2 linked regions of the Oryzias latipes genome follow. Each later gene encodes a partner of the first gene's protein in a complex. Links are inferred from orthologs where the notes say so. Each region holds a gene or a part of one and is shown on either strand. Other genes may lie near its edges.

Region 1 (15,358 bases):
GGTTGGAGTAGGAAGCATTTCGAGCTTGTTAAAAAAAGGGAGACGATGCATCACAAAGGAATCATTTAAAACGTGGGGAAAAGGAACATAGCTCCATAAACATCTGTTGTCAACTATTTCTTGAAAGGACTCCAGTTTGCCCCAAGAGCAAATCAAGGCCGAGCTATTGTTGAAGAGTGGGCTACATTTACCATCCAAAGTGTGTGTGGCACCAGGGGAGCGGCCTCTGTCAGGTGACGGAGAAAGAACAAGGGCCAAACCCAGAAAAAGTGAATCATCCAAGGAGTTTTGGCATGAGTCTTTACTAAATTAGACCTTTATTTATTTTAAATAAAGTAATTATAATAGCATTATGTCAGGAAAACCACTTAACTGTGTTCAGTTTCCTTTGTTTTGTAGATCATTAATAAAAAATAAAAATAAATCGCTTATACTTTTTTTTCTTTTTTTAAACTAAGCCAAACAGGTCTGTTTAGTATCGAGTTACAAGCTACAAAAAAGGATTGAAATTTGATTTTAGAGGCTAATCCTCCAAACAAACAGTTCTTAAAGCTGCAGTGTTTGGTGCAAAAAGAAAGACTCCAGGAATCTGATCTGGCCTCCGAACAAACCCCCGCATGACATCACAGTCACACCGTCCATCTTTCATTCACTTTGCAGCATTCAGTCTGAAATGAAGAGGGGGGGGCCAAAACTTTTTAAAGCTGGTACATTTTTGCTATGGACAGCACTCGCTGGCTTTGGTTGTTAAGGCATTTAAGTTCTTCTCTTAAGCAAAAAAAAAAAACATGCATCTGTGGGTAGAGCTGCAGACTGAGATCATGGCCCTCTTCATGCTGCAGCAAAGAGACATGAAGAGGATTTCTTTTAAGCTGTAAAGAAACTACCAATACTTTCTGCAACTCATTTGAGACTAAAGTGATGCAAACAGTGCTTGAACTGTGGCCTTGCTTGTTAGCTGCAAGAGTACAGCAAACAAGTACTGAGGAAAAATATGTACAAAATAAGATAGAGGACAGAGAATATTGCTGTGACATTAAGTCCTGGGTGTATGAAAGAAAATACAATACGTTGGGCAGAACTTGTGACATTTGTACTATTTCCCTTCTGACAGTAAAAAGGACTTTCACATTTAACTAGTCAGTTCATGTGGAGGACCTGTTAGCACCCCCAGGGTCCAACATTACCCCCAGGTAAAAGAACAAAATGTTGAAGAGGCACAGATGAAATAGTGTTTGTAAGAGGTGAAAATCCAAATACATCTCAGAAAAAAAAAGGGGATGAAAACATTAGAATTAGAAAAAGTCACAAAAGTTTCTAGATTTTCCTTGCCTTTTTTTATTTATGTATTTATTTTTAGTATTAGTATAAAGTATACAACTTTATTCAAACTGACTGTATGTAAAAACTGGACTGAGTAAGCGAGAAGTTAAAAAACACGACTTGCTTCTGGCTCAAACAAAATGACAACAAAGAGTTTACGTGAAGGCACGGATTTGCCTGTCTTGGGCTTCTGCATTCAATACTCTCGCGTTCACACGCTGCTATGCAAGTTTTTAAGTCTTTCTGTTTGGAATGCCAGGGGGGAGGGGTCACTCAGTCCAGTTCTCATATACAGTCAATACATACACCAAATATTGGGTAGGTGGTTGAATCAAAAGTATTTAGTGTAGCTCTTTCTGTTACAGTTAAGGGCTGGCCACAGGAAAAATTGCTGTTTTACTAATTAATCTCCAAAACTATCTTCTGTAATTAAGATATATAGAGTTGAAACGTGTCAATATGAGAACAAATCTTTTTGGAGTTGTGAAAAGCTACTTAAACATAAAAAGAAGCCGGATAAAAACAAACCAGGGGGAATAGAGAAGCTACAACTGTTGAATCTTGGGTGGTGAAGTCAATGGTAGTAAAACACAAGGAGCACCAGTCAGCAGAGTAAACTGTGCCCTGGTGTCTTGGTGTCATACCAGTTCAGGCAGCGGACAGAAGCAGTATTATAGAGCAGTGGGTCTGGCCAAGAGAAGGAACAATAGGTCCTGTGTGCCGGACCCTCGGGAGCATCACAACAGCTGGAAGATAGGAGATCTGTTTGTGGCTCCACTAAAAGGCAGGCAAACAGGAACCACTCGTTGCGCACACAAATTAATTTCTACCCTGACTTTCCCGAAATCCCTCGCCCACCTGCTCATTTTCATCATTTTTTCTCTCTCTTTTATTCCTCTCGTCCGTGCCCCAACATCGTGGGCTGTTATTCTGTTCCCACTATCACCCTACTGAATCTCTAAGGGGAAAGACAAAAGGGAGAGATACTGTTCTTGTTAGCAAGAAAGAAAAGAGAGGCTGGCAAAGAACCAAAGCCATGTCAACAAAGAGCAGAGGTTGAAAGCTTCAGCAGAAGCCACGCCAAAAAACGACTTTCTCACACTAAAAACTATGAGCAGTGTCAAATATGCAGGAGCAAAAACTAAAAGTGGATATGCCGTATTTTCAGGAGTATAGGTCGTCCCAGAGTATAAATCCCAGCAGCAAGAAAAAAAAAGCATTAAAAAAAACACAAGTCGTACATTTTGGAGAAAATCTATACACTTTTGAACAAATCTAACAAGCCCGGTCAAATGCATTTCATACATCAAATGTGATGGAGACGCTACAGTCAAGTTTTTAGCCTCATCGCTACATGGAAGCATTGATTGTACAGTATATCTGGGTTATAACCAGTTCAGTGGCCTTGTGGTTAGAGTGTCCGCCCTGTAACTGGAAGGTTCAAACCCAAGCCGAGTCATACCAAAGACTTTAAAAATGGAACCCATTAAGGGACACATTAAGGGGTTGGATTGGGGGGTTAAGCCACCTTCCCGAGTCTGCAGCTCATTGCTCCCCCTGAGGATGGGTCAAATGCGGAGAACCTAGGTGTGACAGATAGTTTAACTTTAGAATCCACAAAAGACACAGATAATATTGAGAGGTCAGGTCTTCATGGGATCATTCTGTTTCGGGTTTTTTTCTACGCCGATCTTTACGTTCTACCGCAGGAACCAGAATTATGGCACTTTCAGCAATACTTCCATGTCTCTGTAACCCAGTCTGATGACTTGCTTGCAGTCCCGCAAAAAAATTTCCACTAATGTCTTCATGCCATTAAATAATATATCATAAAGGTCAGGAAGAGAACAATCAGATTCTCCTCCATTTCTGTTTTGGACTGTGTTTATTCTTCGCTGTTGCTGTCAGTAGCAAATACTGTTACACACCTATAGTGTGTGTATCTCTCAATGTTATCCTATAGTGTGTGTATCATACACACAATCGGTTGTTTGTGGAAAAACAACAAATATATGAGCCTATATTTATATTTTAAAAATTGCATATTAGTCGCTCCTGAGTATGAGTTTCACCCCTGGCCAAACTTAGCAATAGATTGTGACTTATACTTCGAAAATACTGTATGCCACACTCTGCTTGCATCTACACCCCACATGCTGTACACAACAAGAAAATATGGATATATAGACATTTTTCATGAAACCTTGACGGTACCTGCAAATGGGGCAGTTGGGTGCATGAGGCTGTGCGTGTACTGTATTGATTATGCATCAAAGAGTTGATGTCACAGCGCAGCAAATCCACACTACAACATCTATGAGTAAATCCACAGAGAGCTGAGAGGGAACAATCACGTCTACTGCAAACATCTGCAACAATTTCAAAACCCGGCAGTCCGTTCTGCGCACATGCATGATTCCTCTATGGAAATAAGAGATCTAGGTTATCCAGTAGTAGTCCGAGGCACTTTCACATTCAGTAGCCACTGTAGTTCTTGAATAATGCATCACTTAAACTGACATTATTTGATTAAATGCAAGTGCAGTAGGTTTATTCATCCAATTCTGGGGAATTCGCTGCATTTTAAGGATTTATTCTATTGGAAAAGTGATCTAAACTAAGCTGTTAAATGATTTAGATGAGAGAAAGAGATGAATTTTTAAATATCAGGAGGACGATTGGCTAATCATCACTGGTCTCTGCTTCCAACACTCAAAAATCCAGCGGCGTAAGCACAAGGACCAGCAGTGTGGGAACATTACGAGCTCTGCAGCCAATGCCTCAAGAGATGATTCATTCTACATCAGTCATACATTTAAAACAACACGGACAACCTTTAATAATATACTGCACATCACACAGGTGTTTAAAAAGGACTCACATCCCGAAATTTGCATGCAATACACATTTAAGAAAAAAAATCTATGAATGGGATCCATAAGAAATGCCACATATGACATAATACAATGCAGAGATCTTCAAACTGTCGTGTAAAGCTGTGTAAAAACATTGTTCCTCGGCCATTGGTGTTGCACCAAGGTTTCAAATTTCACAAACCATAATTTTCACCACAATCTACCATCCCCCGCCCCCCCACGACAGTGTACAAACCGAGCTGCCTGGACTGGAACAGTCCCCAGCCCCCAAGTCAGTGCGCTCTAGGAGGGGGGGGGGGGGGGGGGGTCATTACCACACTGTACTAAACTGAAACTCTGATATCCCTTTCCCCGTGAACACACCACAGATGGGGGGAATAAAGGATCATTTATGGGGCTTTGCAAATATTTGCTTCCCCCCCCCCCCCCCCCCCCTCGAATGATATCCTCAGACTCTGCAGCAGGAGCCCTTGCAGATGTGGAGTTATCCCATCAAAAAAGTGCCCTTTTACTGGTAAATACGCATGATCACGCGTGTACTTTTTAAGAATAATCCACATCTGACCACTCTGCATTACAGTCACCTGTGTGCTGAGTTGACGTGAGTCAGTGATGGCCAGGCAGTGTTGAATTACCGTTATTGCCAAGAAGACAGCCCCGGTTTACGCTCTACAACATGGTGACTGACTCTGCTTCTAACTTGCTGGAATTAAATACATTTTAAGTCCGTTTGTCAGTTAAAAAAAAGAAAGAAAAAAAATGAAGTCACAATAAAGCCACGATGCTACCTCAAAATGATCCTTAAAATCCCGCTGATTTTCTTCCCATCTTCACCAAGAAGCAAAGCGTGCCGCCGTGTCCAAGAATTTAAATCCCCGTGTTACATCCATGGTTGTGCCGTCTCTCATATCCAATGCTCTCCTGCTGGAAGAGGCGGCGGCGAAGAAGGATCCAGCTGCATTTTTTAAGGGATTTTCCGGCTGGAATTCGGCGCAACTACAGGGAAATCGTGCTAATCTAAAACAGCGTCAGGTTTTATAACATCAAAACATTACCTTAATTTAAAAACTTTTAGTTTTTGTTGTTTATTCGAGGTTACGACCGTGATGTGGCATTCATTGAGGAGAAAACGCCCCCGTTTCGGTCTTGTAATGGTATGAGCCACTCCATTGTTGAGGAGTGAGAAACCGTCTGTAACTGGGAGTGCGCCAGAAAAGTTGTTAAAAACAGAAACCTAAAAAATAAAATATAGATTTTAAAAATAGTTATAATGTTGTGCATATTTGAAATAAATTCTTAGAATGTGTTTTGTTCATAAAAGTATAAATTAAAAACTATATGCTTAATAAAACAAATGGGGACTATTTAGTTACATTCCACTTAGCAGTGATTACACAGAATATACATTATCCACATTTCTTTAGAATTGGTTGAAAACATTATTATAATATATTCTTATCATATGCCAATGTTTTCTGACTTTATGTTGTATTTTCTTCACTTTTTTAGGGAAATTGTTGCATAACTCTGTGTTACAGACTCATACATGCCAAAAAAAAGTAGTAGTTGCAAACTGTGTTATAATACAACAGATAGGCAATATTGCTCAAGTATAAATGTGTCATTCTTAATTATGCAAATTACACATTTCAATGGATTCATGGCGTGCTTTTATTTTTGCAGGCTTGCTGCTGACTGCAGTGTTTTGTAGGCGCTGTAAGAACCAGAACCCTTGGATCTATTCTGATCCTATTTAACTTGTACAGAAGAGGCTTGGGACCATGGACAGACAGAGAGAGAGAAAAAGGGCAAAGAAAATCTCGACTTTAATCTCAGAATTTTGACTTTTTTCTCAGAATCCTGACTTTTTTTCTTCTCAGAATTCTGACTTTAATCTCAGAAAGATTAACTACGGACGCCTGTGAGCTATTTCCTACAGTTACCTTTAGCAACACTTGAGTCATAAACGCTGGAGTGTAACTAATGCCCTGTTTCAGTTTCTTGTTGAAGGCCTAAAGTTTAGTTTAAAAAAAAAAGCAATTGTCATTTGTTAAGTTAATGGTTCTTTTGAGGAGAAAAAAAACTCCTAAAACACACACAAAAAAGAAGAACAAAATAGTCAATGAAATTGATCAGAACACATGGCTAAAAATTGTGTTTAGTGCATTGGGGAAAAAAAGCTTAAAGTTGCAATGAGAAAGGAAAACAGTACATTTTGTTAGTTTTTCATGATCTCACTGTTGTGGAAAAAATACATTTTGGTCAGCTGTAAGACCCATTGCTTAATATTTTTTAATTAAAAAAATAGCATGTCTATAAACATGTTTATGTGCTACGTCACATTATGCATGTTATAAATAGATAAATAAATAAAATATATTAGTCTTACAAGCATGGTACCCGCATTATAATTGGTAAACACTCATAACTTTAAAATTGTCCTAATTTTTGATATAACGAGTTTTTACATTTTTTTAAATGAAAGTTGAATAATTTTGTAACCGGTAGTCCCGCCCTCGGATTTCCGGTAAATTCACAACATTCAAAATGTCTGCCGCCATATCTTCCCTCGCTTCGTACGGTAGCGATTCTGACTCAGAAAACGAGTCAGAATCAAATACTAGTACAGAACAAGCTGACCCGATGGACTCGGATGCAATGGTTCACCTTAAACCGTTGCAATCTGGTAGCATAATGTCTTTGGCAGTTCTCAATTCTGCCCCGGAGGTGGCTGTTAAGGTAAGCTAAGGCATCTAAGCTAACTCACGTTAGCATAAAATGTAAAGTTTGATGACTGCTCCTCGACGACAGTTTTTTACATGTTGATAAATGTTGGGTAAAAGTCGCGAAATCTATAGTCAGGGTTTTAAATGTGTATAAGAATTCATACAAGTCAACTTATGAACACAAATCAAGTATAGACCACAAATATGAGCTAAGGCAGCAATTACACAAGTGTACATGATGATACATTAAAGATGTATTTACTGGCCTCTTACTAATGCTTTTTATTAAGTAATAATTTATTGGTTAAAGTTTTTGATATTTGCGTCTCAAGCGTACGTAAATTGAAGTTAATCTTACTTTATTGCTTTTAACGTTGAAATCTCCCTATGTTTTCATATAGCTATTAGTGTCTTAATTGAAAATAATAGGTTAATAGTATGTAGAGATGTCTTTATTTTTAACTGACAGTGTTCTCCAAGTTAGTTACAAACTAATACATAACTGATATTTTTAAATGTTTCAGAACTGTATGTAATGACCTGACATCTGTACTACTCAATAGTTTTTTTTAAACACTTGTGAAAATGGAGTGTAATGTAAGATGACAATATTTGGCAAAGTATTTCACATGTCCCTTGATAATTTTGTTAGTAATGACTGATAATCATTTGTTTGCGTTGATGGTAGGAGTCTGTTGAGACTGGTACACACCTGGATCCCACTTTGAAAGAAGTCAGTTATAACCCGACATATGAAACTCTGTTTGCTCCTGAGGTAAGTTTGTAGTCATTCCACAAAGGCAAATTCAGAATAATGTTACCAACGAATGTTTCTTTATTTAATCAGTCAAATTCTAACAAATGTGACTTGTATTGGGGAGAAAAAAAAGGAAAACTTCTCAATTCAGTCAGTATGCAGCAGAAAAAATCACCAGCTTTACAATTTACGATTTGATGCTCAGTCATTGTTTTCCTACCGATAGTTTTGTCATTTGTCATTACTGTTATCATAACATATATTTATAATAATCAAGCCCAGTTTTTGACAATAAAACCAAGCTTCCTGGTTTCACTGAGGTGATTTATTATGGATGCAGCCTATTATATATATATATATATTTTTAAATTCTATGAGATTGAATTCTAAAAACCTTGATTTAAAGGCTTCTTTTTCGACACTACTTCCCTCACTTATTTGAAAAATCCTGGAAAAAGAATTAATTTCCACATAATTACATATTCAACACTAGATTATTATTGAAAAATATGTGGTTATGTTACTTTTGGGGAAAAGATAAATTCACAATTTTCTATCCCAGTTGAATTTTCTTTTGTTTTTCATATTCCTCTAGGTATATGTGTTTTCTAACAGATTAAAAATAGAAACAAATTTGTCAGAATCGATAAAGATGAAAAGACATTTTAAAGTTGTGAGAGTGTTTGACTAAGACGTTTTTTTTTTTATCTTAAAGGTTTATAGTTAAAAGTTAATAACAACAGGATTATGCAGTATTTCTGACAAAAATGATGGTAAATACTTGTTAAATAAATAAATACATTCCAGTCAAAATAGTAAAGGCTGGATTTACTAAATTAAATAGTAGTTTTACTTTATGGAACTACAGATGGGCTCTTCTCCTGCTTCACACAAACCAAAATTTCATTAATAAAAATGTATGTTGTTTATGTAATCAAAACATACAACTATTGGCTATTTTTATTTCTTTTGGATGAAAAAAATCTGGGTATGTTAGATGTCATGATTTGTTTTTTTATTTCCAACCATCTACAGATGAATTTTCAAAGCGGAAAAACTTTTACGTGAATACAGAGTGACACATGAATTAACAAAGGACTGTGGGTCAAACACAACTGTGTTAATTAGTCTTGTTTGTTCCTAGTTTGGACCAAAGAACCCTTTTCAGACGCAGCAGATGTCCGCCCCCAGGAACATGTTATCTGGATATGCAGAACCAGCTCACGTCAACGACTTTATGTTTGAACAACAAAGAAGGACGTTCTCTACTTATGGTAGGGTTGACTTTAGGGTGGATGAATTCTTTCAAAGTTCACACTTTGAAGACCACAAACCCATATTTTATCTGTTGATAGGTTATGCTTTAGACCCTTCTGTTGACGCTCAGCAAATAACCACCACTAGCTACATCGGAGCGGTGGATGAGGCTGAGAAAAATAAAGGTATTTGTTGAAAGTTATTTCTCATTGCATCATTAAACCATAATCCTGTGAGCCCTGACCACCTGTTTACAGGTAGAGGAGACAGACGAGCTCATGGCTTAATGTCTGTCATAAAAATATTGGAAGATGTCATTGATTTGCTTCTTTGTGTTCACTGGAATTCCAGGACTGACCGTTTTTGAAAGCGGTCAGAAGAAGACAGAGAAAAGGAAGAAGGTTAAGGGGGGAGAGGCTGCAGATATTGATCATTTCCTTGGGCCGTGGGCCAAATATGAAGATGAGAAAAATGTGGCCAAACCAACAGAGGTGATGTTTTCTCTATTACAATGTACACTGTGACTCATATTTAACAAAAATTTAAGGACCGTTGAGAACAGCGAAGTCAGCCATTGATAAACAGATATAAGATGCTACAGATATTACAAGCTTTTATGTTTGTTTTTTTAAATTAATACTTGCCACATCGCACATACTTTGGGAGAGCTGTGTTTTAAAATTAAATGTACCCATTAGAAAATATTGATTCATTCATTAAATTCCCTTTTTTGCCATTTCTTGTAGTTTTAAGGCTAACAGTGGGTTTATAAGTTCTTTTAAGTAAATATTTAATTTTTTTAACTTTTGTTCAAATTAAATAATTAATTTATGGGGAAAAATCCTTAAAATAAAAAATAAAAATGAGTATTAGGTTGGATCCGATAAAGAACAGTTTAGCGAAAAAAGTTAGATGGTGTTTAACTGATCTGATATTTTACTGTCAAAGCAAGAATATATTTATAGTTCTTTGGCGCTTAAAAAAGAATCCGCAAAAAAATTCATTTAAAAAAGTGTTTATGGAATTTTTCTGTATGGTAGAGACATACCTTGAATCCAATGTTACCTAATGTCTTACTCTATGAAGCCACAACCCTCTTTAAAGTATTCTTTACACAAAAACACATGTTTGAGATGAGCTGCCACCTGTTGGCCTGTTCAGTCTTTGGATTGTTTGAAGGTTATGGTGTCTTGAGATTTTTCTAATGATGTATTTTCTTGTGCAGGAAGAAAAGAAGGATCTGGAGGAATACCTAGCTAAGAGGCAGAAGAGAGGAAAGAGGGAGGAAGAGTCTCCGGCAGAAGAGAAGACCATTCTTCATGGTATTTGGTTTTTTGATAGGAGTCTATAATATTTGTTGATTATAATTACGTTTTTTATATTTTAATGTTTAGAGTAACAAAGTCTTTAGCGAATTCTAATTCAAGTGTATCACAAAAAGATGGAATAATGCTTTTCTACTATCATTTTTCAGTAAAAAATCTGCTACTATGAGAAATTTTTACATCTTCTTAAAATTATTAAATTTCATTTGAACTATGAATGTTAAGCAAAGCTCTATGCTATACTGGATTGAAAAGTATTCATGTTTCAAGATCATTTCAAACACTTTTCCCCCCATTTGTTCTTCTCACAGTCAAAGACATGTACGACTACCAGGGCAGGTCTTACCTCCACGTTCCGCAGGACGTCGGCGTCAACCTGCGTTCGCCTGATGCTCCAGACAAGTGTTACCTGCCGAAGAAACAGATTCATGTGTGGTCTGGACACACCAAGGCGAGTGGAGCGGCCGTTAATGATGCTCACGCTAAAATTTTTTTTACTCTGATATTTTAAACTTTTTTTAAATTGGTGGACTTTCTATAGCAAGCAACAGTCCTCAGAATCTGATTTGTCATACAAATAGGTTTTAGAAAACCGTCTTTCCTATAAATGCCGATGTCCAGAAAAATTCCTCAAAGCCTCTTATGTAGTGAAAGTAACAGAACTATTAAGGAAAACAACTTTTTCTGTAAAAGTTCTTCAACAGCAACACCCTATTCTGATCTGAATGTCAAATTAATATCTCTTTTGGGTGAGGACATCAAAAGTTGGTGTTCAGCTTATAAGTAGGCTTTTAGAGTAGAAAAGAAAATTAAAGTTAAAATAGTTTGACGCATTTAGAAATATTTCAATAGCAATAGAAAGATTTTGATAATATTAGGGACAATAAGATCATGTTTAGATTCAAACAATGTTAAATATTGTTTTTGTTTTTTTCTCCCAGGGTGTCAGCGCGATCCGGTTATTCCCCAACTCCGGTCATTTGCTGCTGTCCTGCTCTATGGACTGTAAGATCAAGGTACATAAATATGTTTGGCTTCAGTATATGCTTTTTATTGGTGTGATATTTATTAAAAACATATCATTCACTTTTAAATTCTGTCAAGAATCGTCAATTTTGTTAGCTTCCCATAAAAATCTGAACATTGTTTCGATACAACCAGCTTTAAACCCCCTTTTGTTGTAAATGTGTGTCTAATTTGTCACATTTTTCCACAGTTGTGGGAGGTTTACGGTGAGAGGAGGTGTCTCAGGACATTTATTGGTAAGTGTTATTGGATTTATTTTTGGTGTCTCTTTCTGTTCTAAATTTTCTGAATAAGCTGTTCATGTTTTGGAGTCCAATTAACCCCTTTCTCCACCAGATCCCCAAAATAAAGCAATGTTTGTAGCATGAAACATTTTATGATGAGATCTTTTCTCATTCAGAAATGATGCAATCTAGTGGGGGTATATTATTTTATCATCTTCATTCTCCTTTTGTTCGTTTCTGGATGTTCCAGAAACATTTTTAGAGAGTGAAAGTTGTGATTATACAGCCTGTTTTTTAGGTGTCTGCTTGCAAAAATATACCAAGAATTATTATTGATCATTTAAAATAGTTTGATGTGAAATACCTTGTTGGATGAATGTTTTTGGCTCTTAGCTTAAACTGAGCCCAAACGACTGCCATGGAAACAAATAAGAGATATTTATATATTTATGTTGATAGTTTTGTCTCCATAAAGACACAAATTTCACAATAAAAAAGTGTAATTTGGTGTTTTAAGGTGTCAATTGTGAATAAATAAAATGATGAAAAAGGTACCTATTTATTATAACTAGTATTAATGGTTGACCACAGCGCCTGGAATCATTAAGTATTTTGTTATCTAACTGTAAGATAAGCATCAAAGAAAGCATCATCAGCAAAGATGTTGACTCCGGCTATGTTTGAGGTCTAAACTGGAATAAGCCCTTCAGTGACTGACTGTGTTTTCAGCGTTGCAGGAGCATTGATGTCTTCTGGTTGGAAATTTGCAGTTATATTTATGTTTTAATTTTATTTCTTAATTCTTATGGTGTCGGGAGGGTTGCTTGGCAGATAGACAACTTTTCCACACGTCTCACTGAGAGCACGTTGTCAGAGTAAAGATTGTTTGTAGCTGTGGCTCTCCTTGTCAGCTCCTTCAAAGAAGATGCATAATTCAGCAGCCCAGGGGCAGAAGAGGGGACGAGGGGCAGAAAACATTGAGATGGAGGGGGTGAAGAGCCAGACATGCGCTGTTTCTGTGAATGAACAGAGATGCATGCCTTTCTTCTCTTAATTCTGTAAAAACAATCATCAGACTAATGTATTTCTTCCTAAAGACAATTTCATGCTAATTAATCTTGGTAGTGATGCTTATTTTTTTACCAATTTTCATGTTTTAACCGCTGAAACATCGAATAGTGTTGCCTTGCTTTCCTAATTTACTGTAGTTTCAGTTGTATTGTGTAAAATCATTTGTGCATACATCTTTAAGACTGTCTGGTGCTGTAGTGTTTGCTTTGGTCTTTAATGAGCATGTGTGCATGAAGCGTTTGTCCTTATTGGAGCACATTGTTGATAAGAATACTGTTAGCCCACCGCAACCTTGTGATAGTCAGAAAAGAAAAGCCGTAGAGGTTTACTTTCAGCTTAAAGACCCCCTCTGATCATGTTTTGTTTTTAAAAACGTTCCCCATAACCCTTTAATTTTGATTATGCCACTTTTTTTTCCCCTTTTCTCCAGAATCAAAAACCTGTGTTGTTTTAGGACAGAGTTTCTGCATGAATGCTGCATAGATAAATGCATAGATAGCTTTCTGCATAGAAATTTGCCTGAGAGTTGTGGGCGGTTGTGAGCTCTTTTTCAAATTGCATTTTTGTAGTCTGCTCCTGATTCACAATGATTTGGATAAAGAAAGATTTAGAAATGCAATTTTGAGCTTACTATCTCCATCTTAAAAAAAAAATACACAAGAACACCAAAGACATAATTTTCCTGGTCTTTAAAAAAAATATGCGAAAATGACTGTTCGACAATTGTTAAATTGTCGTCATTTTGAGTATTTGTACGGCATTTGTCTGTTTCACTGAAGTGTGTATATTTTGTGTAATAGGTCACAGCAAAGCTGTGCGAGACATCTGCTTCAGCAACACTGGGACTCAGTTCCTCAGCGCCGCATACGACCGCCACATTAAACTCTGGGACTCCGAGACAGGTACGAGGGTCTCTGACATCAGTGTGCTTTCCCCAGAGTGACTAAATTCATGTTTTTGAATAAAAAATACAACTTTACCTGCATGGAGGGGTCCCCCCCCCTCCTCCATTAGGTTTTGGAGCTTCTCGTCAGAAACATAACCTAGCAGATGTTTTATTAGCATAAAGGTCAAAGCAGCAATCATTGTGGATGCAAAGGGGATTTCACATGTCAGACTTGGCACCCAGGGAGCAGTCACGTTCTGCTGGCTCTGTTTAAGCACACGTCTAGAATAATCTTTAGGTTGATTTAAAAAAGAAAATAACAGCGGGAGAGTTTCCATGACAACAGTTGTCTAAGTGAGCTTCTGTCCTTGTCACTAATATTTTTTCTTAGTTACTCAAGGGTGTTATACATGGCTTAGGATGACATTTGTAATCAGTTTTTCTTATTTACATATTTATGTTTTTTACCATCAAGGTGGGTAAAAGTTTGCTCCTCCAGCAGAGGGCAGAAGAGAGTTAAATCCCCCACTGTAATCCAAGTTTATGGCTCACTTTTGTACTTTTCGTTTTTTTTCTTCCGTATTTTCTTATCGCAGCTTTAATAATTTATCACACATTTCTTCCAACTGTACTAAAATGATGGTGGTAGCAGAGCTCTTATTACAATCATGAATCCCTGCAGGGTTTTCGGTCATTTTTCGTTTCCTGTTTGCCAATATTTCTAGCATTTGTCACAATCATTCACCTTTTGTGGAATGAACAAAAACTCTCAGGGGTTTTCAGTTTTACAGCTTGGTTTTCTTCACATAAAGGGATCCAGCAGAAGCTGCAGAATCCTTTTTTTTTTCTGGAAAAAATATTTCGGATTATTCCCTAGCTCTTGAGTTTTAATTAGCTTTACTCCACAGGCCAGTGCATCTCCCGCTTCACCAACAGGAAGGTGCCATATTGTGTCAAGTTCAACCCAGATGAAGACAAACAGAACCTCTTTGTGGCCGGCATGTCGGATAAGAAGATTGTTCAGGTGAAGAAACGGGAAGAATGAAGCTGTGCTGACCCAGCAGATGCATGAAACTGTACACAGGCAGTGCCCACAGGACCGTGAAATGCACTTGTCTCACTTTTTTTAGCAAGTTGTGTGTGAGTGGATGACAGGAATAGAGCAACTCATAAATCAAAGGCAACAAGATGGAAAAAATCTGCAAAAGGATAAAAAACATTCTGAAGAAAATTAGAACAATAAAGGTTTTCTATTTTCTTATCGGATAAACAATTTATAGAATTTGAAGTGTACAGACTTGTACTGTGACACCGAGATTTGATTGAAATCAAAAATAGAAATGAAGATGATCTCAGCCCCATTGTTTTCATTATGACCAGTAGATTTCCCAATCTGGCTGGTGTTAGTCATGCAGCACTTCTCCAGGTTGTGAGCACAGAAGGCTGCTGGCCTCAAGGGTGGGCTTTTAATGAAAGAGCACAACCAGGCAGTGCAGAAATGTGCCCGTTCTGGTTTCATGTCCACAGAGTCGTTTCTGGGTGGTTTCCTTTCACTCTTTAGCGGGAAATATGATTCCTCACTGTGTTTCCCCCCCCCCCCCTGCGTGTGTGTGACAGTGGGACATCAGGACAGGCGAGGTGGTTCAGGAGTACGACCGCCACCTGGGCGCTGTCAACACCATCACCTTTGTGGACGAGAACCGGCGTTTTGTCAGCACATCAGACGACAAGAGCCTTCGAGTTTGGGAGTGGTGAGTACAGTTTACATCCCATAATGCAACACCTCGTCATTGTGACCATTTCGTCAAGGAATTTTAGATAAGAAAAAGAATACATTAAATCAAGTGTTAGTTTCAGCTAATATTAGGGCTTTCCTCATTAGTTGCA
Region 2 (15,346 bases), on another chromosome or scaffold:
AAGGCAATTAAATTACCATTTATATATTTATATCTACACACATGTATATTTCAGCTTGAGAGCTGACTACTATTAGTTCAAAAACGGTGGCATTAGAAAGCAAAACACAGAGTCCCTGTCACTTTCTTCAGAGCGTCTGAAGCTGGGAATCTGTCTTTGGGTGTAGCAGTGACAGCGGCTTCAGTGCTGTCACTGATTCAGCTCACAGTTATCCAGCCTCCACATCTTTATTTATACTAACATCTTCAAATCATTTGCTGCAACAAAAAGAGAAGTTTGAACTCTTCTGCTTTGCTGTTCACAGTAAATTCTTGTCAGCAACAACAGAATTTTCTCTTAACCTCTCTTCTGGTCAGCATTTGTGGAAGTAGCTTACTGAAAGGTTAAGGCGATGGAGGACCACGTCTCCTATTTAGTGGAATATTAAGCATAAAGTATGAAACGGAAACAAGACCATCTAGCAGAAAAAAGACAGAGCTCCTCTGAAAGCCAGCAACCAGACACATCTGGATTAAAATGACACGAGAACACTAACAACTTCAAAATAAAGCTAAACTGAAAAATGCATAAAAATCCACATTTATTCAAAAATGAGGATATAACAACATGTCTTTAAAAATAAAAGGAACACTTCAGTGATTCTCGGGTTGACTTTGACTGCATGTAAAAAGACTTTTGTCATCTTCCCATAATGCATTTCTCACAAAGGGCTCGGCTTTTTCCATTCGCATCAGCTGGAAGCCGTTTGCAACAACGCTGCATTCAGGTCGAGGCATTCACGGGCAAGGGTGTGCATGCTTTGACACTGGCTGAGGGTGTGTGTGTGTGTGTGTGTGTGTGTGTGGTATCTGCGATGCATTCAAACATTTAAAAGAAGGCATCAGGCAACAGTACAAACATGGCCCCGCCCCGCCCCTCCACCACCTGTTTTCCTCTTTAGAAGTTCACATCCCTGAACTCTGAGTCCAGCAATATGAGCTTAAAGTCCACCGTGTAGGAACTGAGAGAAGCAAACTAAATGATAAAATAGATCAACTTGTGCTTTGTTAACCAAAAAACAAAGATTCTTCTCAGCCTTAAAAACAAAAAAATAAATGAAACCCCTAAATAGGAAAAGTGTGGGGGGGTGTAATCGTATCCGATGACTGATAGCACTTATGATGAAGACGGGGTTAGAATATCCTGCAGTGAAGTGGTGCGTTCCCATTACTGCATCTCTCCATCTCTGAAAATGGCTTCATTAACAGGCCAGTGCAGAGAGCTGGCTCGCCGAGTGCATGAGCGCGCCGTACCCTGAGGGTCCATCGAAATGGCTGAGGTGAAGTCCATTAACACCCGACAGCTTGTTTTTTGACCACTAAATAAAACAGGGCATTTTTCTGTGTCTTGCAGTAAAAATAGCCTTTAGCTGAAGGGCTAAAGTGCACGCAGTTCTGAAAACTGAACCGAGAGTAGAAAATCGTACAAGAACCGATCCGAAGGGAGGTGGAAGTTGAAAAATTACACAGGGGTCAAGGTCTTATCATCATGTGACTGTGATTTTTATTTTTTACTGACAAGCTTCAATCAGAACTGGTGTGGAAGTGGGAGAAAAAAAAAACTTTAACCCTTGTGCTATCCTAGGCACTTTAACGCTGGGAGTTGGGTCATCTAGACCCACTAAAAAGTGCACTGAACCTTTTTTCTTCAATGATTTATGATCTTCACTGGTGTCCATGGATTACATGAAATCTTTCCACCTTTATCCACCTTTGTCATGGTAGGGAGAACACGTCAATGTAAGGGTGGGGTCATCTAAGATAGCACAAGGGTTAAGAATGTCACCAGTGGAGGAAATAGTCCTTGATCTATGCTGATTCTGTACATTTACCCAACCCAAGTGAATGGGTAGGACTGGGCATCAAACTCAAACACAACATTTCCCTCAATAAAAAGGCAAATACATTTACCATATTTTCTGCACTATGCAGGGCACTTAAAAGACTATTTTTTTTCTAAGAGCAACTTTACATATGGATTCATTCTGGTTGTGTTTACTGATGTCTAAGCTGTTTTGAGAGGTACACGGCGGTCTATCAAAATGTCCGTTTTTTTTTGTTTTTTTTTAATTTGCAAACAAGGTGGCGTTTTATTGTAAAAACGGTAACGTGGCTAACATGCAGCGGTGTTTTTTCCATGATACTACTAACAAGGTTGGGAGTTTGTGTACCGGTAGTCACACTAATGTTTGTTCTAGTGGTATCAGAGGTTGGGTTTACAGGTATTGTAAATACGTTAACGTGGCTATCATGTAGCGTGTACCAAACAAGTTCTAGAATTATAATGAACGCAGTTAATAAAGTCTGTCTCACTAAATGCACCTTTTAGTTAGGTGCATCTTATACATGTCTGCTGGTGCGCCTTATAATCCGGTGCACCCTATAATGTGGAAAATATGGTACATAAATTCATTACATAAAGTCCATTTCTTGATTGTTCAGTGATTTTCCATCTCTCACTGTTTAACCAAACCTACCATTAGGATGAAACTGTCCATTTGTTTCTAGGTAGGCATACCTTAAAAGTCAGCAAATGATCAAATACTTCTTTCAGTTACTATTCATGACTGAAACCGTGAACCAAAATAGTGGAAGGAGGAAATGGCTGTGTTAAAAGGAGAAGCAATAAAGAAAAAAAACAAGATGTCTTGTCTTGCTGTAAATCCATATCTCGTATAACTTCCCGCTCTCCTGGCCCACTTACTGACCCTACGAGAAACCAGAGCCGGCCAGCTCTGGGCCTATGACATAGCTCTTCCTTTCCCAACACTTATGACCCAGTCACCTGATGAAACGCTACACCCCAGTTACCATTATTTGTCTGGATACTGGAGCCTGTGGAATGTATCAGATTCCTGCCTCAGGGGGGGTGGGTGTGCACCTTAGGAACATGGTCCGGCCACAGATAGCCTCTCCTGTTCTCATCTCTGTTTCCATTCAGCAAAATTCCACCAGAGGCCAGCAGGATTTAACCACCCCACCCCCCCTCCTTTTTTTTTAAGGCACTTTAAATTCTGACACATATCTCTTCATAGGACAGAGAGAAGTTCTCAGCACTGTTTCACAGCTGCCGTCTTTGCCCGCCCATGAAATAAAACTTCCATTCTCCATTGGTGATGGCAGGACACTAAAAAAAAAAATCAGCTTTAGTAAAAAAAAAAAAAAGGTACACTACATAAATCTTAACAAGAATACCATTAACTTCTGTGCAACAAAGGTGCAACCCCTCCCCAAAACAAAGCAACGATTATGCCGTGCAGTCCTCCAACCTGTATAGAGTATCTATGAGTCACTGGTCTGCGTAATTCAGTCAAGGGAATTATGACAGTGGAAAATCATTTCCTTCAGCCGCGGATAGGAGGCCATGGCTAATCGTTCAGTAATCTGATCTGCCTGCATACTGTAGCCTTCAGCTGCGCAGCTAGCCTAGCCAGGCAGTCACACATGTGGACACCCCCGGTGCCTGCCAACTGTCTAATGGAGCCCAGCACCATTCGAGAAGCGACTCTCTGGGTTTTTCCTGAGGATTACAGCCCGCATCATATGGTTTGCTAAAACTAGGTTTTGCTGAGCTGCCTACTATGCATTTTTCCTTTGACCCTTCATAACCTTCGCCGCGTAAAAATGCAACATAATTCTACGTAGAGTTGGCGTAATAAACTCAAAATCCCAAGGCAGTGAGGAAACATCCGATTGTGCGCATCTACAGGAAGTCCAATTCCAATGGGAGATTGTAGTATTTAGTGAAGTAAGTCATTACTTTATGAAAATGAAGCAGCACTGGGGCACAAAGCAAGGCTTATATCCACTAAAAAAAAAAAAAGGACAGAAAAAAGTTGGGGGTGCTCAAGTTTTGGAAAGATGCCTGGCTTTAGCTCCACTCTAAAGAGAGGTCTGCTCCCCACACACTGAGAGTGCCTACAAGGGGCAGTGACATGGAAAACTACAAGAGCTGGCATGTTGTGAGCCCTGTAGCTCCCAACAATTACTCTGTGTGGCTTTAAACGTGATGGTAGAGTTACTCCACACCATTATGTTGACATCCTCCTCTAGGTGGAGATAACAATAAGGCACTCAGGGCTCCACTAGGCAAACAATGAGTTCCGGCAACCAGTCCGATCGTCCCTCATCCTGAAAAAAGGGCTGCTTGGTGACACGATTTGTCAGAGTTCCTGTGCTTTTATCGGCCTTGGCGCGCAGGTATTGCATCCCCAGATGTGTCTGAAGCGAGGAGATGCTAGTGCATGATCAAATGGACGCAGCGACACGCTGGCAGCTGAAAGCCGCCCGATCACAGCGCGTTTGGCCAGATGGAGGTTTAGAACAACCAGACAAACAGTTGGCGTGGATAAACAGAACACAACTTAAGATTCAGCAAATTTAATAAGCATGCAACAGCAACCATCATGCTTTTTTTTTTTTTTGCTCTTCCCCTCCTCCTCTTAATATGTAATCTTCAAATGGAATAAGCCCTATATTTTTCAATCAGCAAAATGCAAGCTGGAACATGTGGCAACTAGAGGCTTATGGGTAACAATACTATGAAGCACCGGTCAGATAAACCTCATGAAGCCGGCATGCAGCTGAAGGAATGTGCTCTGCAAAAGTCCTTGTGACTTTGCCAAATCCATTTCCAGCATGAGTCAATGTTCTCTGTAATCTCTTATTCAGCTAGGAGCACCCCAAGGTAAACCATATCAGGCAGGTCTGGACTGTCCCCCCTACACAAACCTTCCACTGTTTATATTACTGAACATCTGCAGCTCTTAGTAGAGACAGACCTTTGCTCTACCAACAAAGGAGCAGCAAAACTGGCCTCGCGCGTACAGGAAGACACTGCTCCAATCTCGCAACAAACAGCCAATTAAAACCGCCGAATCCCATCGTCCTACTTTTCCCTCAAAAGAAGTTTGGAGAATCCCGCGTCGTGGGATGCTCTCCCACCCAGGAGGGCTGCCCGTGTTTGAGGCGGTTCAGAAAAAAAATACGCCTGACTGTTAAAACCTTCGTAAATAATAAGCCAGTAAGGGATTACTGCAGGTCATAATAATCCGACGCGTCGTATCACAACACGGAGCCTGTTACCACAGCTGAGAGCCAAATCCCACTCAATCGTTTATAAAAGATTGTGTTGGGAGCCATTGCATTCCACTTCTAGTCTTTTGTCCGCCTCTTGTCATGTGTGGACTTGCAGAATGAAGTGAAAGACGAATCATCCTTTCATTTGGATTTGCACACACTCGTTGGCTTCTTTTTTTTTTTTAAATTAGACGCGCCGGGGGGGAAAGCAAGGATTATTTTATTGTTACCCCTGAGTTGTTTTGAGTCACTTACTTGAAACGAGCATATCCACGGCGTTAAACGCACCGCAGCGGCTACAAAGTTATCAAAACAAGTTGCTCGGTGGCCGCTGGTGCATTCACGGGATTCGATCGCGGTACTCCGCCGTGAAAATCTCGGTGCAAACCGGCTGCAGCTCTAGCTTCTGCCGGGCACTAAACTTCGAGCAGTGAACGCATCCTTTCATTTTTCGCGTCAGAGCCAGGCTAAATATGAACGCTGCCTCTGGGGCTTTTTGTTTTATCTTCAGTCGAGGGGAGTCAGGCATTGGCCTCAGCCTCGCGCGAGCCAGACAGCGAACACGAGCCCGGCCTGGGAGAGCGCGCGGCGGGGCTCCGCGGTACCAAACACAGGCGAAAAGCAGCGCCAGCACACTTGTTTTTGTGTCGACGTACTCACCTCGTTTTAGCAGATTTCGGACGCTCTCGAGCCGGCTGGAAGGAAAGCGGCGCTGGATTTCGAAGAGTGAACAGAAAAGGGTCTCGGCTCGCTGTTGTCCTTAATGTGGAAGCGGCACGGCCGACTCGGCTGGGAGAAAGCTGGAAATGTGAGGAAGCCCCTCTCCTTCTGCAGCGTTGTGCACCCAGCAGTGGCCCATAACTGTCAACAGGTGGCGCCAAAGCGACACTTTTTTTTCTTATGCGCATGCATGCATGTTGAAGTCCTCAATATTTCTTGGGCTTATCTGCATCCCTGCTCCACGGTGCTGGGATTAAAGGGACCTTGATCTTCTGTTCGCTAATACTCTTGAACCAATTTTCTTGTGAAGTGATGCTCAAATTATCTTAACAGATTTCTTTCAAAAATGTCATTGAAAAGTAGCTGTTTGATTTGCTTTTAACAATTTTTTTTGGGGGGGGGGGGGTATCGTGATTTATTTATAGATAAGAAATTACTTTACAGGCATACATTATGGCAAATGAAGCGTCACAAAATATGCCTCTGGTTACAGATGATCTTATAACAGAATATACAGTTCTTTTCGGGGGGTTTTAATCAAAAATATAAAGAAAGCTTGGAGTATAAAACTAATACAGACAAATTCAGAAACAGCCCCACTGTAGAGTTGAGGCATTAGCAACAAAGAACAGCAAAGACACCTACAAATCCACTGGCCTTGTGACTCATGAGGTTGGTCATTTTGATCTCTAATTAGCTAAATTTGAGACAAAGCTTTCCTTCAAAGCAGTTTGGCCATCTCAGTCTTTTCACATGATAGAAAGGACGGGGTCACATGACTCATTAAGATATGGAAGGTGATGCCCTGAGGGGGAGTTTCCTGTGGTGATCTTTTCAGGGATGTTCTTGACGGACTCTGCTGGCCAAGCAGAGAAAGAAAACAAAAGGTTAAAGCGGATGGAAATTTCCATTCAGCGCCTTACTGTGGAAGCACAAGCACATGGTATGCCCCTGATTTACAACCAAAAGTCCATGAACCTCTAAAAGCACATCCCAAAACGGAGGGTCAATATAGTTGTTTTTAACTTACATGTGGCCTGAAAGAGCTCTGCAGACCAGTTAAGTGGGCCTGCATCTAATCTCTGCTCTGTGAATCCACAATCTGACCTGTGAAGTTAAATAAACATTCAGGATTTAAAACCCACTCGTAATCTTCAGCATCCTTCGCCTCACTAATTGGAATTTCACACAACAAAGACACCATGGCCTGAATTGGACCAGGTAAACGGGTAAACTCTAACTGGACAATTGGCTTTCACAAGCTCCCATACACCTGCCAATCAGCCAGCCTGTCACTTCTTCCGTCTCTGGAAATGACACAAACTCAGGCGGCGCAAACTGTTGGGACTCACAGTTTTTCATAAACCTAAAACACTTTACATCACCTTTTTGCATTTATCATAGATTTATGATCAAATGAAAAATAAATAAATTAAAAAATATATTAGATTATTTAGCAATACATTAAATTAATCATGTGTTTATGAGGAAAACTACATGTGTTTAAACTTCTGATAAAACATACCATTTTTGTTGCATAGCTCCTCTACAGAAGTTAGATTTTTTTCCTTCAGACGGAGCAGGTCATGGACATGGATTAGGTCTAATCCGGAGTCCGTAATCAGGTTAACAAGTAACTAAAAAAAAAAAAACTATTAACCTTTAGTTCCAGAATAGAAATAAGTTCATGGTCTTTAAAAGCAATAGCATTAAATATTGTTCCTGAAATAATAAAAGCTTTTTTAGGATAACAACAACTGTTTTAACAAAGCATTCATTATGCTTTGCTGAAACATTTTCTACTTTTAGATAGATAGATAGATAGATAGATAGATAGATAGATAGATAGATAGATAGATAGATAGATAGATAGATAGATAGATAGATAGATAGATAGATAGATAGATAGATAGATAGATAGATAGATAGATAGATAGATAGATAGATAGATAGATAGATAGATAGATAGATAGATAGATAGATAGATAGATAGATAGATAAGTTAAGGTTAAGTTAATTAGTACTTACAACTGATTACTAAACTTTACTCACACAAATGTTAAGAGCGCAAGAATATTTTCGAAACAGAATGAACAAAATTTTGTGACGCTTGTAAAAACTTGTTATCCTATTTAAACAAAACTGTTGTTTTTTCGGGTGACATCAGATAGTTGAAAGTAAAGATCTTAAATTGTCAACACTGGCACACCATATTACTGTCAACACGTCAAACCAGTCCAACTCGATCCATTCCATTGAGGGTTTGATCACTAACAGTTTCTGGTGAAAGAGCGACACCCACAGGCAAGTCTAGGACCTGCAGCGCGGTGCATTGTGAGTTGTCGTTGTCGGCCCGGTTCTCCTCTCATTCAGCAAAATGGCGACTTCTCTTGGATCCAACACCTACAACCGACAAAACTGGGAAGACGCGGTATGTTGAATTGCTTTTATAGTTTAAGTCTAAATGTGTAAAGAGACCACACATCAATTTTATCACATTTCAAGAATACTATTACCCAAAAGCCTCTTTGATGTGTAACAAGGTAGCTTCCCGCTAAGTAGCATAGGCTAATGCTAATGCGGGAAGCATGGTAGCTAGCTACTGTTCTTCGTATCGTTACAGTAATTGTAAGTCTTTAAATCCCTTAATGGGTCAGGCAAACACAGATTGTGGATCGTTGGCAGCTAGTATCATCCATTTCCAAAAGTCCAAACAGATTTATCAACCTAAACGAGGCTCGGCATGTATGCTAATTTACGTTAGCTTTAGCTGCCTTACGATGCTGAAGTCATGTTGGTTGAAATGTCATATTTGTAAGACCGACTCAGCATAATGTCAGTCAAAAACAATTATTTTAGAAAAGTTTAAAGAATAAAGTATGTAGAATAATCAGAGTTTTAAACAATAGACCTGTTTGTTGATCTCAAACCATGATGTTGCAACCTCGTCATCACGAATATTAAGAATTCATGTATTTTTTTTCGCAATTGCTGTTACAGGTTTCCTGTTTGATTCCGTAACAGTACTTCTTCTCTTGTTTGAGAATAAAATATGAGCTAAAAGATGTCTAAGTAATTGATTCATACCTGACTGGCATTTTTAACGCAGTTAATGCGACACTTAACCAATCCGATGTAAACTGGGCAACTTAATTTAAGTTCCCACTGTGGTCCTAATGTAAATCAAGCAAATGTACAATTGTACCTTTAAATCTTAACACGACTATAAAAGATAAAAAGTGTTTGTGTCTTCCCTTAAAGCATAACACAACCAGACATTTGATTAGTTTTAGTTGAAGCTACAGTCTAAAAACTTTGTAACCCGAATATGTAAGTGATGTTTGAGCCCAATGATCTGCCCATGTTTGGGGTTTTTGGCTGATGCGGTCAGAAGGATGGAAACAGCATCCTTAACCAGATGGAAAAGTGGGTGATGCTGAAAGCTTTACTACCCTCACATGTACATTTGTCAAGCAGAGGCTGAAATGTAACGGTATCCCTTCAGCTTGAATACTAGTAAATGATTAGCTGAGAATTGTTGAATCCACGTTTTCTTGTCTGTTTCAGGATTTTCCGATTTTGTGTCAGACATGCTTGGGGGAGAATCCTTACATCCGTATGGTGAGTAAGTTTCCAGCTGAATTATTTGTAGGTCTTGTTTATGAATTCACATTAATCATATTAGTTGTTTTTTTTTTATATACAGACCAAAGAAAAATATGGAAAAGAATGCAAGGTATGGCTTTCTGTTAATTTTCCTTAGCCTTCAGAAGAATACACAGCTTAAACTTGAAATATTTTATCTTTAAACTGGATTTAAAGTTTTTCTTCTTTCCATTAGATCTGTTCTCGACCCTTCACTGTATTCAGATGGTGCCCGGGGACTCGAATGCGTTTCAAGAAGACAGAAGTCTGCCAGACTTGCAGTAAAATGAAAAATGTTTGTCAGACATGTCTGCTTGATCTAGAGTATGGTGAGTCTCGGGATCTTTCTACTTAAATTTGGATTTGTGTACCCCTTGTGCAGGTCTTATTTGTCAGTGTAACACTTTCTCTTGATGTGTTTTGATTGACAGGTCTGCCTATCCAGGTCCGTGACACAGGCCTCACAGTTAAAGATGAGATTCCTCGCTCGGACGTGAATAAAGAGTATTACACACAGAATATGGAAAGAGAGGTAGATTTCCTTTATGTAATGACTTTTCTCTTCAGTAGCATTGCTTGTTATGACGTATATTATTTTAGGTTGCAGTCATTTCCTTTACTTCCAAATTGTTTTCATATTGAAAAATGCAACACAACTTCCAAAGGTTTCCCAGTTCCTTTGCAGCTCTCAGGAGTCTGTAAATATCACTGCACCGAGAACAGCTTGGAGCATTTTGATCAGAACTGCACATTTATTGTCATTAACGACTCGTCGCATTCACAGATGGCTAATTCCGACGGCACACGGCCTGTAGGCCAACTCGGCAAGGCTACGAGCTCAAGTGATATGTTGCTCAAGCTGGCCAGGACCACGCCATATTACAAGAGGAACCGGCCGCACATCTGCTCCTTTTGGGTGAAGGGAGAGTGTAAGAGAGGCGAAGAATGTCCCTACAGGTGAGGACTAATAGCATCTGTAACCAAAAGACAAAGGTGCTGCTGTTTGGTAGATCTGAAACTGTAATCCATAGTTTTATTTGGTTTAAAAGATAAAAAATATATACCAGCATGTTGTGTGTCTTTGGGTTTTATTCCTGTGTTTGCTGCATTTCAGGCACGAAAAGCCCACCGATCCCGATGATCCTCTGGCTGACCAAAACATCAAGGACCGTTACTATGGCATCAATGACCCGGTCGCTGACAAGCTGCTAAAGCGAGCCTCAACCATGCCCCGACTAGACCCACCAGAGGATAAGTCCATCACCACTCTCTACATAGGCGGTTTGGGAGACAATGTCACGGATGGAGATCTCAAGTAAGGTTTTTTTTTTTTTTTTTTCTGTCTTTGTCACAACAAGAAGTGACAATTTTGATGCCTTTATACTGTGCTTGAATTTCTATGTGTACTCTTGCAGGGGTCACTTCTACCAGTTTGGTGAAATCCGAACCATCACTGTAGTCCAAAGGCAGCAGTGCGCCTTCATCCAGTTTGCCACGCGCCAGGCAGCTGAAATGGCCGCAGAAAAGTCCTTCAACAAACTCATCCTTAACGGACGGAGGCTCACTGTCAAGTGGGGGAGGTACGATGACTCTTGGTTACTGAGGAGGCCGTGCTGTCATTTGCTTGTTAAACGCCAGATGTTCTTAAAAGAGCAAGAGCCTTTCAAACTGCCTTGAGGTGAAGCCACCATCGATGTTACAAGTGTTGGGAAACGGCTGAGTGTGGCGTTTAAAAAGTGGTTATTAGAAACACAGCAGGAGCTTAATTGTAGCACACAGGTTCTTCCCATCTGGGAGATATTCTGTCACCTTTTTTTTTGTCTTTCAAGTCAATCAAAATTCAAACCTGTTTGTCTTTTAGGTCTCAAGCAGCGAGAGGAAAAGATGGTGTCAAAGATGATGAGCTTGGCATCAGACTGGATCCTGTACCTGGACTTCCTGGAGGTAAGTCTTCTCTCACAGGGGGGGTCAGTATTTTATGTGTGCGCACATGCAGTTCAAGTCAGGGGTGTTGGCGCCCCTTTAGGAGGTCAAATCATTTTCCCATAAACATAACCACTTGCTAAAAAAACGATGTCTCTAAGAGCCACTTATTTGGATTTGTAAGATGCTGAGATCCACACGTTACATTTTAGTTTGGGATCTGAGGGTTTTTATGAGAAACTAAACGGTCATCTTACATTTTACTACACTGTTTTTTAAAATAAAGCACATTTGGTTATTTTTTGTTTTCATCAAACAGCAGTTTTCTAAGCGTGTTCCTTCTTCGACACACTTTGATGAAAATGGTGTTTTTAACATTTATCATGTTCATTATTTGGATGATGGAGGACATATTTGAAGAAAATTAAACTCAAAACTGCATTTCTGAGTATTGTTTGTATTCAAATTCGTTGATGATCAGTAGCAGATGAAAAAATGCTGTTGGGGTAAAAATATGTATCTGCGGGGTAGAAAATCCGCTGGGCGGGCAAAAGGCTTCCTGCTCCGAGTCTCAGCCACAAGAATTCAGAATCTGGATTAAGATGCAGCAAGAACATCTTTTTACCGCCTTTAATTCTTCTCTTTGCCAGCGCTGCCTCCACCTCCAGCTTTAGATGAAGAGGGTCATGCCAACTATTTTAACCTGGATCCCAGCTCCGCTCCTGCTGTCATGAACATAGGTTTGCCTCCACCTCCAGGTATCAACCCACCTCCTCCAGGTAAAAACATGGCTTAGACTTACTTCTAAGTGATGCAGAAAGAAAAATGGAAATGGATACTAAAAACCTTCTTTTGCCCACGCAGCTTTTGGTCCTCCAATGTACCACCCTATGGGTCCCATGGCTCCACCTGTGCCCCCTGCTATAACGATGAGACCTCCGGGTGCAATCCACTACCCCTCCCAGGATCCTCAGCGCATGGGTGCTCACGGCGCTCACGGCTCCCGTCACATCACCGAGTGAAGTCCTGCAGTAAACGTTTGTCTCGGTTTCCTCACCATGAACCTGGTCAAGTGTTTTCATGTGACAGCCCCAAACCTGAAGACTTCACATGGATCAGTCCTTCCTTCTGTACACAGCCCCACATGACATCCAATGAATTCATTACCTCAGTATGTCTCAAGAGGAAAAAAGTGGAATAGTACTCCATCACTGTGTAGCTTCTTGCAGTTCTAAATGAACACAAAAGACTTCCAACATGAGTGCTGGCCATGATTACTGTTGTAAAGTTCTTAGGGGTGGACCTGTTCTTGTCTTATTTTGCATAGTGTCACATAGAGCTCGATATGGAGGATTAATTCTAAATCTGTCTCTTTTCTGATTTCTTTTTTTTAAAATAAATTTGATGCAATATTCCACTGCATAATGACTTGGGTTTTTTTTCCTGAGCTCATCATCAAATTGACTCAGCTTTCATCTGTTTGCACCATTTGGTGGATTTGGAAGTCTGGTAAATGAAAATATATTAAACTAGAGTGTAAATTAATAGACAAAGAGACTGCATATTAGTATTGCATGTAAAATGTACTTTAGGAAATACTAGGAATATTCTATTGGAAGTATTTATCCACAAAAAGAAACTCCATCTTCCCCTGCTTACAACTGGTACTCCTTAAGGAAGATTACCCCAGGAAAACGTTTGCTCTTCAACTTCAGCAGTTCAAGCACAAGTGGATTAAAAGAAAACAACTTCAATCTTTGTATGGTAGTTTCAATGTGGATATTTTTCTTAATCTAGAAATTCAGCCATAGTCTGGATATCTTTGTTGTGGGTGTTATCTTTCATAAGATTTTGAGAGTTTTCAAGTACTTATAGACCGGCTCATGATTTCATTTGGATAAACCATGTAGGTTTATAAGGTAAATAAGTTTACAAAGGCAGTTTTATTGCAAATTCCAGAAGTAATGCTGTGTGCAGTAGTCGTGTTTGGAAAGCCATTGGTTATGTGACTTTAAGAAAAAAGTGTTTATAATATTCAATCTTAAATAAGAGCTGACTCATTAAACTAGCAATCCTTATGGTTTTTCATATAAACATATGGATGCTGGTCCACATCCAACAGATCTAATATGGGGCTTCTGTTTTCCTCCAACCCCCGCTTTATGTTCCTAAATTCAACGAAAAACCCAGAAAATCGGCATTTTGTAGTTTCCCAAATAACCACTAGGGGCAGCACCATTTCCAGTTGACCTTTACATTAAAATGTTTAGGGCTATACCAAAAACACATTTCTGTTTTAGGATAACATGTGAGAGAGCTGATTATATTCCAATACACATTTTTAATTTAAAGAGCGAAATTTAAGGGCAGTTTTTTGATCGACAGCTTGGTGGATCCACAAGTGGACATAACAAAAAAATGCTTTGTCCTGGACAATTGCCCACTTTCAGAGCATTGTTGATCTGTTATTGGTATTGAATATAGAAGCCTCTCCTTCTGTTGTCAAGAAAAGAAAATAAAACATTAAAGTTTTGGAAATAAGAATAAAAAAAAACAAAAAAAAACTCTCTTTTAAAACCAGCCACCAGTGGTCAATTTAGGAACTGCAACCTTTGAGTTTGCATCAAATTTAGAAACAGGAAGTGTGGGATTGGCGAATTTATGTCTGTTATTTCCCTGTTTACATACATTTTGGGTGCAACTCTTTAAAATAAACTGAATAAGTCTTTATTTTAAGATAAGGTAGGTTTATCTTATTTGTCTTAAAATAAGATGAATATTTTGCATCAATTGTCTTGAATTTACAAACGGGTAATAATTGCACTAATTAGCAGTTTTCCTTAGCTGTCGACTGTTTTTGTGGGACTGTTTTATATTATAACTGCAACCCAATTTTAAAAGAAACCACATATATATGAAACTTTTTAAATCTGAGAAAAAATACACATATTTAAAATTGCTGCTTTGTTCATACTTTTATGCACAGAAAACTTTGCACCAGGCCCCTGAATATTTTTGCATGATATAAATGGAAGTCTGTGTGGTGTTGACAAAAACACAGAACAGAGGCCATTAACAAAAATATTCTGGAAGCATTGACTGTACATGAGAACTGGACTGAGTGAGTGTGATGTCATCCATAGAAAATGACTTACTTCCCGTCCAACCAAATGAAGTCAAGCCAATTTTTGGTGATACGAACATGGACACGTTAGAGCCAAACAATATCATTTAGCAGTGATTGGTCCAAGTCGGTCTAAAGGGCCGGGACGAATATTCGCCAGGCGTTATTCGCCAGGCATTATTCGCCAGCGTTTTTCGCCACGTTTTTTGTGTTCACACCCAGGCGATTTTCGCTGACGATGAGCCGAGCGAACATGCAATTTCATTCCCTGACATTAGATGGCGCTTAATGTAAAACAGAAATACTCCTGTACACAAGGTGGCGCTGCGCAACTTTATGCTTCTTAAAGTCGCTTTTCACTCAGAAGAAGAGAGCGAGTATTTACGCGCTTGTCAGAATCATACAAAGAAAACATGAACATTTCAAGCACCAGTAGCTCCAACTGGTGCTTGGTTCGGGGATATTTTAGAATTTCCGTCATTATTTCTTCGCGGCAGTGTAGACGCTACTTGGCGTCTATCTTCTTCGCTGGTATATGTGCTCAGAAAGGCAGTTTTGTGTTTGAGCGCCCCCAAGTTGTGTTTTACTGTAGCTCCAGAAGCTCCAGACATGTGTGCAAAAGCGCCGTTCTCATTGGTCGTACAGTTTTCGACGCGGCGCGTCGAACCAAAAAAACGAACCCGAGGCGTTTTTTAAAAAGTGACGCTTTGACGCGTGGCGTTTTTTCGCGTCGGTGTGCACACTCACGTTGGTGCCCTTTGTTTAGTCACGAGGCGTTAAACGTCGGCGAATATTGCGGGCGAAATTCGTCAAGGTG

What was found.
Region 2: cdc40 (region 1) and rbm22 share a complex: the UniProt entries of both Homo sapiens proteins name them as parts of the postcatalytic spliceosome P complex. The link is inferred for Oryzias latipes from reciprocal best matches to the Homo sapiens genes CDC40 and RBM22.

Annotation. Positions count from the first base shown.
Region 1 is NC_019882.2:8,072,153-8,087,510, forward strand, and holds the start of cdc40 (pre-mRNA-processing factor 17), read left to right. Parts: upstream 1-6,746; coding exon 6,747-6,938; intron 6,939-7,613; coding exon 7,614-7,700; intron 7,701-8,826; coding exon 8,827-8,956; intron 8,957-9,037; coding exon 9,038-9,124; intron 9,125-9,290; coding exon 9,291-9,430; intron 9,431-10,164; coding exon 10,165-10,261; intron 10,262-10,575; coding exon 10,576-10,715; intron 10,716-11,205; coding exon 11,206-11,280; intron 11,281-11,480; coding exon 11,481-11,526; intron 11,527-13,385; coding exon 13,386-13,487; intron 13,488-14,379; coding exon 14,380-14,495; intron 14,496-15,088; coding exon 15,089-15,222; intron 15,223-15,358. UniProt on the Homo sapiens protein: Required for pre-mRNA splicing as component of the activated spliceosome. Plays an important role in embryonic brain development; this function does not require proline isomerization.
Region 2 is NC_019868.2:16,380,011-16,395,356, forward strand, and holds rbm22 (pre-mRNA-splicing factor RBM22), read left to right. Parts: upstream 1-8,138; 5' UTR 8,139-8,214; coding exon 8,215-8,268; intron 8,269-9,404; coding exon 9,405-9,458; intron 9,459-9,543; coding exon 9,544-9,573; intron 9,574-9,678; coding exon 9,679-9,811; intron 9,812-9,913; coding exon 9,914-10,014; intron 10,015-10,266; coding exon 10,267-10,439; intron 10,440-10,596; coding exon 10,597-10,797; intron 10,798-10,897; coding exon 10,898-11,062; intron 11,063-11,343; coding exon 11,344-11,426; intron 11,427-12,055; coding exon 12,056-12,184; intron 12,185-12,269; coding exon 12,270-12,427; 3' UTR 12,428-12,827; downstream 12,828-15,346. UniProt on the Homo sapiens protein: Required for pre-mRNA splicing as component of the activated spliceosome. Involved in the first step of pre-mRNA splicing.